Coturnix japonica: one gene and its partner. The protein of the gene in region 2 interacts with the protein of the main gene of each other region in a biochemical or structural test. Links are inferred from orthologs where the notes say so. Each region holds a gene or a part of one and is shown on either strand. Other genes may lie near its edges. The genes, in order: CD24 and E-selectin-like.

Region 1 (3,908 bases), on a different chromosome or scaffold from region 2:
CCTGATTAGCCATTTGGTAATTGAAATTAAACAAGAGGATTCTTACATGATGTGGTATTTTATGTTTAGACTTGCAGCAGTCTCACACAAATTAAATCTAGAAGATCTTTCACATACATTGCTACCAGCCATAGATTATAACTGTATGGGCTGTGTGAGAAACAGAACCATTCAAGCTTTTGTTTCCTAGAGGTTCTAGGAGCTCTGACTTTACTGAACTTAATGGAGGGTAAACACCTCTTCAAGGTATCAATTCTAAGCTGCAGGTAAAGTCTCTAGCCTTCTGTTTTGGTGGAGTGTTATCATCCATCCTTATCGTGGACACTGTATTTCTTCTCAGCTTTAAATCAGGGGTGTCAATACTGTCTGGTTTTGCTTCCATCATTATGCCAATTTCAAAGTTGTTAGGTGAAAGAGCACATCATTTCACCTCCACGCCGAAGATGAGCAAATCCTTTTCACGTTGGTCAGCTTTGGAAAGTCAGAACAGTGGGGGTGCTTCTCTAGGTCAGACTGGTACTAGTTACAGTATGGAGTGGAACCAAGCTGGTTTGATGCAGAGTTTGGACTGATTCATTTTCATGCTAGGTCGAAGATCTAGCCATCTCAGATGGTTCAGGAAACTGGGTGGGGAGTGGTAGCCATTTTCCTGCCCTTCTCTTAACAGCAAAAATACAGAAGAGAAACTGAGAGAATGAAAAGGAGACTTGTGGCGGATTGAAGGGCATTTCCATGTCCGTGAACGGTGGTACTGTTCAGTGAATTTACGGCAGCTGGCAAAGTGGAACTCGCTGAAGAATTGTTTGAAGGTGTTGGACTTGTTCCATTGGGATCACAGTAGATCTAGAATGTGGGTAGAGAAAGTTAATGAAAAGCAATTTTTTTTTTCTGCTCTTTAATAATAAAAATCAGGAGCCAGGCAGTCCTCTGAATGACAGACCTATTTAAGTGGACTTTGCAAGATAACAGAGGGGAGGCTGAAACACTGTGGTAGTACTGAACTGCAGAACTTAATGGAATTATACTGATTAAATCAAAACCTATTGGCATGCTAGTACAGACAATAAGAAGTGCAGTGGAAAGCCCATACAATACCAGCAAATAGAAGAGATGCTGACAAAGAACAATGGGAACAAAATCCCCACTCATTACTCTGCATTAATTGCAACAGAACAGTAGAAATTTGCACCCTATGTAACTTCAACATAAACCTGTACCCTACACATACAGGAAAGCTCTCAAAGCTGAGCTTTGAAGCTGGTCCTTCCCTTCCAGTGGAAGACATGAGGGTGGAGAACAAAAGGTAAGAATCATGAGGAGGAGGAGAGGGGAAAAAACTCACAGTTCAGCAAGCTTAGCTGTAGTTCTGCACCAGCAAACCTATGTTAAACCAGAGCCCTCTCGTACACGGGAGTAGAGTTTGAAGTAAAAACATTTAAGAGCAACTACTTTAGTAACACTCTCCATAAAAGAAGCCTTTATTCTCTTGTATTTCCAGGGCTGCTGAGAACATTACTGCCTTTAGCAGAAGTGATGTATGTTGTACCTCAACACTGAGGCTATAAAATCAACGTTAAATACATTTGAAACTTGCATGAGCATATCCTGAATAAAAGCACATCATAGAAAGACAGCAGGCTAGTATGAAGCCTCCGACAGCTAAGATTTTTTGGCAAGCACGAATATACTGGAAACAATTCAAGACTGCAGAACTTGGGGGGAAAAAAAAAAGAAAAAGCAGTGAAGTTTATGTTGAAGCCAGTGAGTGAGTGATCAATACAGAAGCGCAGTTAAGACCCTATAAACTGGTTAAGAGATAAGACTCCACGTGCCTCGGAATTTTCTCAGTCTTCACACATTCCTCCTTCCCTGTTTCCCACTGGGATACGTATTTATTAAGTTACCTCGGCTGTGAGCACAAAGCCCGGATTCTGGGTGGGTGCGCAAAGGGAGGGCTCAGAAACCCCAGAGAACCCAGACAAAGCTTCCTACATTCCCTTAACAAACATCGGCACCCACACGATCAGACCCTGCTCTATTGAGACCAACTCAAAAGGGACGAAGTTTTTCTTTCCAAACAACAAAAGCAAGCGGATTTGAAACCCCCTCTCGGGAGCTTCTCGCCGCTCATTCGCTCCGTGCGGAGCTACGGGCCCTTTTCACGAGGGGTTCTTAGAAACGCGTCCCCGCAGCGTGGACGAGCACCGCGCTGCCTCCCCACCCCGCAGCCGGCGGAGCTCGGCCGGCACGGCGATACCCGCAGCCAGCCCCGGACCGCCCACCCCGCCGCGCCTCACCCGCACCATGGGGGCTCGGACCAGCGGGACCGGCCGCCCTCGGGCTCTAAGTCTTATTTATTTCCGAGGGCCGCTCGGCTTTATTATTATTTGAGCCTCTTTTTTTCAGCGGAGAATCGATGCTTCTCCGCCACGCGGCACCGCACGGAGACGAAGCGCCCGCACCGCCGCTCCGTGCCGCTCTCTCGAGGATCCCGCAGACAAAGGGGCGAGAGCCAACCTCGCCGAGCGGCACCGAGCGGCCCCCCCAGCCCGAGCTCGCCCCGGGGTAGAGGCAGGGGCTCCGAACGGCGGCCCCCGCCCCGCAGGCTCCCCCGGAGGAGCACCCCGCTCCGGGAGGGTCCCCGCGTGGCCGCTCTCCCGTCTCTCGCGGCGGGGCTCACCTGCGTGGGTAGGAGGAGCGCCAGGAGCAGGAGCCCCAGGCCGAGCCGTGCCGCCAGCGCTGTCCCCACTGCCGTCCCCATGCCCTTCTGCTGCTGATCCGCTGCGTGCCGCACCGATGCTGCCGCTGATCCAAGCGCTGCGACGGCGAACGAGACGGCTGAGCCGCGCCCGGGCTTTTTATAGGAGCGCGGGCTGCCGTGACGCCCCGCCGTCGCCGCCTTCCCCACCTCCTACCCGCACCTCTGCCCCCGCCCCCCGGCGCCGACCCCGCGCTCCCTACGCTCCCCGCGAGGTGTTGGCTGCGTCGCCGCCCCGGCCTCGGTCCGGCTATGGGGCTGAGCTGCGTTTCCCCACCTGCGGGCACAACGTCTGTGCCTTTGTTTTGTGCCCACCTCGTGCTCTGGCGCTTCAGCACGGCGTGGCCACAAGGGATCACATCTGCTTGTCATCTCTTATCTCTTATCAGAAGCAGCGATAAATTCTGCTTGTGAAGATCACGGAAGCATAGAATCGCTAAGGCTGGAAAAGCCCTCTAAGCTCACCTAGTCCAATCAGCAGCCCATCCCCACCATGTCCTCTAACCAGGTCCCTCAGTGCCACATCCACACGTTTTTATAACACCTCCAGGGTCCGTGACTCCACCACCTCCCCGTGCAGCCTGTGCCACTGCAGCACCACTCTCTCTGAGAAGAAATGGTTCCTATCTCCAACCTGAACCTCCCCTGGTGCGACTTGAGGCCGTTTCCTCCAGTCCCATCACTACACAGGAGAAGAAGCCAACTCCCACCTCACCACAACGAAAAGTTGTACAGATCTATAATGTCTCCTCCAGACTGAGCAACCCCAGTTCCCTCAGAACATCAGGCTTTTCTATTTAAAAACCGAGCTCATAGATGCGGGGAGGACGGGTAAAGAAAGCTGTATTTCCAGATGGTAGAAACAAGGAGTGAAGAGTTGAAGAGCTGAGGCCCCACCTTCCCCCCGGCTGTTGGGTGGGTACCTTCCCACCAGTGCTCAGCCTTCAGACCACAGCTCGCAGTTCCAGATGCTCTTTGGATCTGAATATTTTATTATTATCATTATTCCTTAAAGAGCAGGAAACCTGTGTAACAAGTGGAACAGGAGGTTCTTCCAGTTGTAACCTGTACATAAGATTCTAGCTACTGGCGTAGTTAACACTGTATTGGGAATCCTCCCTGGTAGGTTCTGCCTTGCTGAATCGATGCG
Region 2 (3,908 bases):
CTCACTTCCCAGAGCTCCCCAGGCAACCACTGGGAGCCTGCCTTGGCCCCACCACCTCCCCTGAGAATCCTGAGGAAGACCAGACCCCAGGAAAGACCAGGGAACACGTCTACAACCTACACACTCTTACCTCATCCTTCCAGCTCCTGCAGCCCCACGTGCTCAGCCTCATCTCACCTCTCCCCATCCACCTCAGCTGAGTCCCACCTGGGTTCCATTAGCAGCCCTGGCAGCCCCCATACCTCCAGCCCTGTGCAGCTGGGCACAGTGTTTGCAGCACTCAAGCTGCAATTGTATTTTTGTTTTCCTTGCAGACCTAAATCTCAGTCTCCTCCTGACACTTCTACTTTTGCCTCTGCTCTTCTGCTGATTTGCAAAAGGTCTTTTGTAAACTGATCCACACCACACAGGATTTCTAGGACAGAGCACATTCCTTGCCCCATGCAGTGCCAATGTGCAAAGGAAATATCCTACAGGCACCAAAGCCATGTGTCTGTGGGTCCCCCAAAATAACTCCACTGCCCTTCTCCAGTTTTCCATTCCCTCAGGGTCACGGTGGGCACCTTACCACATGTAAAGGCAGCGATGCTCAGGCAGCAGACACCACAAGAGCTGAGAGCCCTCATCCTCCGAGTGCAGTGCTGTCCCACAGTGGTGCCCTGTGTGCCGGAGAGAAGGGCATGAGCATGCATTCTTGTCAGCTGCAGGATACCCACCCGCAACCCTCCCTGCCCCCTACACAAGCAGACCCCAGCTGTCCCAATGGGAAGAAACAGGCAGACCTACCACACTGGTGCTGCAGGGTGCCTGCTGCACCTGGCCCTTGCCCTGGGCAGGCAGCACTGCTCACGCTTCCTTCAAGCCTCAGAGCATCGCTCCCTCCCCCCAAGTCTCTTCCCCTCCTGACCCAGCCCTGCTGCCAGCCCGCATCCTGCCCCGCTGCGTCCCCCCCACTGCCAGGAAACTGCTGCCAGCTGGAGACTTGCACCCCAATGAGGGGCCAGCCTGGTGTGCAGCCACCCAGAGCCCTCCAACCCACCATGTCGGTGGCAGCAACAAGGAGAGGACAGAGTAGGATGAGGTGTGTGGACCTGCACCAGGCAGAACAGGAACGAGGTAAGCGGCTCCTGGATCCTGTTGCAGGCTGTGAATTGTCATATACCACTAAAGACCAATTAGTTACACAATGTATTTTCCTGTTTCTGCCTTTTAAAATCTTTATGAGAAAGATCCAAAAAACAGGATGGGGGAACTTCCCCCCATTAAATGTCATTTATGAACTTCTACCTATGCTTCAGGAAGGTGCCCATTGTGTGCAGCATCACCATCTATCTATTTTTACACATGTTCTACTTCTAAGTAATATCATTTTGGCAGGGTTTTCTGAGGGAATTACTCTGCTCACTTCCAGCTAAAGCCAAGGCAAGAGCCATTTGGATCACATGCATGTTCCAGTTCCAAGAGAAATAAATGATGCCCCAGTGGGACTCACATGACACAAAAGGAGGAACCCATCCCCAAAATCCATAACTCATTACAGTGACCTTCTGCTTGGCCAATGCAAATGAACTTCTGTTCCTGTCCTTTGTTATCATCCTTGCAAAATATTTTGGTGCAGTTCTCCCTCTTTCTGTGCATGCAGTGACCCAGCAGCATTCGCTTTGCCAGCTCCCATGCAGAAAGTGTAGCTTGGGACAAGGAATGCCATCCCAGTGGACAGAGAGGCTGCTGGGTGGATTCTGGGCAGGGGGACACCTCAGGAAGCCACAGTCCCCTGAGCAGGACAAAGCTGCTTCTGCACTAGGACAGTCAGAGGGGTGCTGCTGGATGCTCGGCCCCATGGGAGGGCAGGAAGAAAATGGGCCGTGCCCCTGCAGGTTTCACTTCTGCTGGCACAGGACACAACAGGGCAGAACAATAGAAAAAAAACATCCCCACCTTTATTTTTGTCATTACAAATAGTTTCTGGTGTTGCTGTAAAAGCAGAAGTGAACTGGCCGAGACCTGAAGGTGGACACTGCAAGGGGAAGGATGCAGCCCTGAACCCATGCTTTATATGTAAAGGAGAGGGGTATATGTGGCAGAGGGGAATGAATGAGGACTGCAGTCAGTTCTGCAGCTCTGCTGGGAGCCAGAGGTAATCTTGTTTTGCTGGTGTCTTTCAGGGCCAGCTCCTGGGCAAATGTCAGCATGCTGCAGGGCACGTACTCCTCACAGGGATCCTGCAGGCTCCTCCATCATTGTGAGGCTGAGTGGGGTGCTCCCCTGCCACTTGGGAGGAGCCCCTCACCATGCACACTGCTCTTGTTTTGGCAGAGGCCCCATCCCTGTGTGGTACAGCCCTCTCCTCTTCTTGAGCAATGCTCCCTGCAAACCGCAAAGGAACCGACTCACCCTGACACAGCCTGCATGGAGCAGCTGCCTCTGACGACACCACAGACACATCCCCAGGCACCTTCTGCAGCCCCCAGGGCATGGAGACAAGGGGCACCCCCAAGGGGTGCAGCCATCGGGTACATCCCTGTTCCCACTCCCCCTCTCCCCTCCCCCATGCCACCCCATTTCCAGACCCTGCACTGAGCCAGGATGCTCTCTCTGAAGGCACCTCCTGGGCATGGGCTGGGGATGGCTCCCCCTCTACAGTGCCACCATGGGGGCTTTTTGTCCCCAAAGTTGTCCCCAGCTGAGAGGTGCCTCTGAGCGCATCTCACCTCAGTGCCCCTGAAGTGTGGCACACAGTACAATCTTTCTCAGAATCTGAAAGTGGTAACAGTTTGGCCACAGGAAGACATGTTTACTCAAATATCACCCCAACCAGGGCAGGGCAAGATGGAGGCACTGATTTGCTGAGCAGGATGGGGATGTCCCCAAATGTTCCTGGCATGCCCCAGGTGGAACAATGCTGGCTGCAAGATGCTGGGGGCTTCGGGGCCCCTGCCCACCACAATGTGTCCCCCTTGCCCTGTTAATGCCCCTCGGAGCCATTTCTCTGACCCTGTAGATCTCAGCCTTGTGCCTTCACCCTGCAACAAAAGGACAAAGAGCCGTATGGTATTGCTGCTATTTGTGCACCCCTGGAGCTGGCTCCTGTTGCCTGGCTGCAGCAGCACGTGCCTGGCATGGGTAACGATTTGCCAAACAGGATGGTGGGGGTGGAGATAATGGAAACTTATCTCAGTGCTGGTGTTGTGAGCAGTAAACAAGTGGCCCTGCCTGTCAGGGTGAGTGCAGCCTGGGGCATCCGGTCCCACCCAGCCCTACTCACTGCCCTCATGGCACTGCCTTGCGTCCCCCGGACATCACCACTGCTACTGCAACAGTCTGGTTTAATGCTTTAATGCAGTCTTCTTATTTCAAGAGGGCAAGCCCAGAGGCGGATTCTGCTGCCCGTCCCCCCAGCACGTTTTTGCTCCCCTCTGCCTCTTCCCTTCCCCTCACTCTGGCTCTGTGCAGCCCATCTGGCTCTCTCAACAGCAGATCTGGCTCCGCAGCCATACAGCTCTGCAAAGAGCCATGGAGATGAATCAGGTGAACGCATTCAGCCACGAGAGCCCTGCCTCTGGCCACTGCCAGCCCCACAGAGCAAACAATGTCCTGTCCTCCTGCCAGGAAATCCGGAGGCAGTCCTGGCCATGCAGCGAGGCCAGCTCCATTTTCCTGCACACAGAAGCATCCTTGAGCAGTTCATTCTTCACCTTTTGGCAGCTGAGGGCTGACTTTTCCTCTCCTTCCAGCCTCAGGCAAGCACCCTGCCTTGTGCTTCCTGCCCTCTTGTGTTCAGCACCAGCAGTGCTGTGATTCTTTCTGCCCTGGGACCTTGGTTATTTTTGTGCTCTTGAGGACCTTGCTCCTTGGAAAGTGCCCTTCTCCTCGCTGCCTTCTGGATACAGAGCTGTGGAGACGTCTCT

The links.
Region 1: the proteins of E-selectin-like (region 2) and CD24 form a complex in vitro, tested with the Homo sapiens proteins (2 studies listed by BioGRID and IntAct). The link is inferred for Coturnix japonica from reciprocal best matches to the Homo sapiens genes SELP and CD24.

The regions. Positions count from the first base shown.
Region 1 is NC_029518.1:61,827,491-61,831,398, reverse strand, and holds the start of CD24 (signal transducer CD24), read right to left. Parts: upstream 2,908-3,908; 5' UTR 2,762-2,907; coding exon 2,681-2,761; intron 844-2,680; coding exon 661-843; 3' UTR 1-660.
Region 2 is NC_029523.1:3,600,320-3,604,227, reverse strand, and holds the start of E-selectin-like, read right to left. Parts: upstream 2,477-3,908; coding exon 2,395-2,476; intron 843-2,394; coding exon 787-842; intron 660-786; coding exon 569-659; intron 1-568. UniProt on the Homo sapiens protein: Ca(2+)-dependent receptor for myeloid cells that binds to carbohydrates on neutrophils and monocytes. Mediates the interaction of activated endothelial cells or platelets with leukocytes. The ligand recognized is sialyl-Lewis X.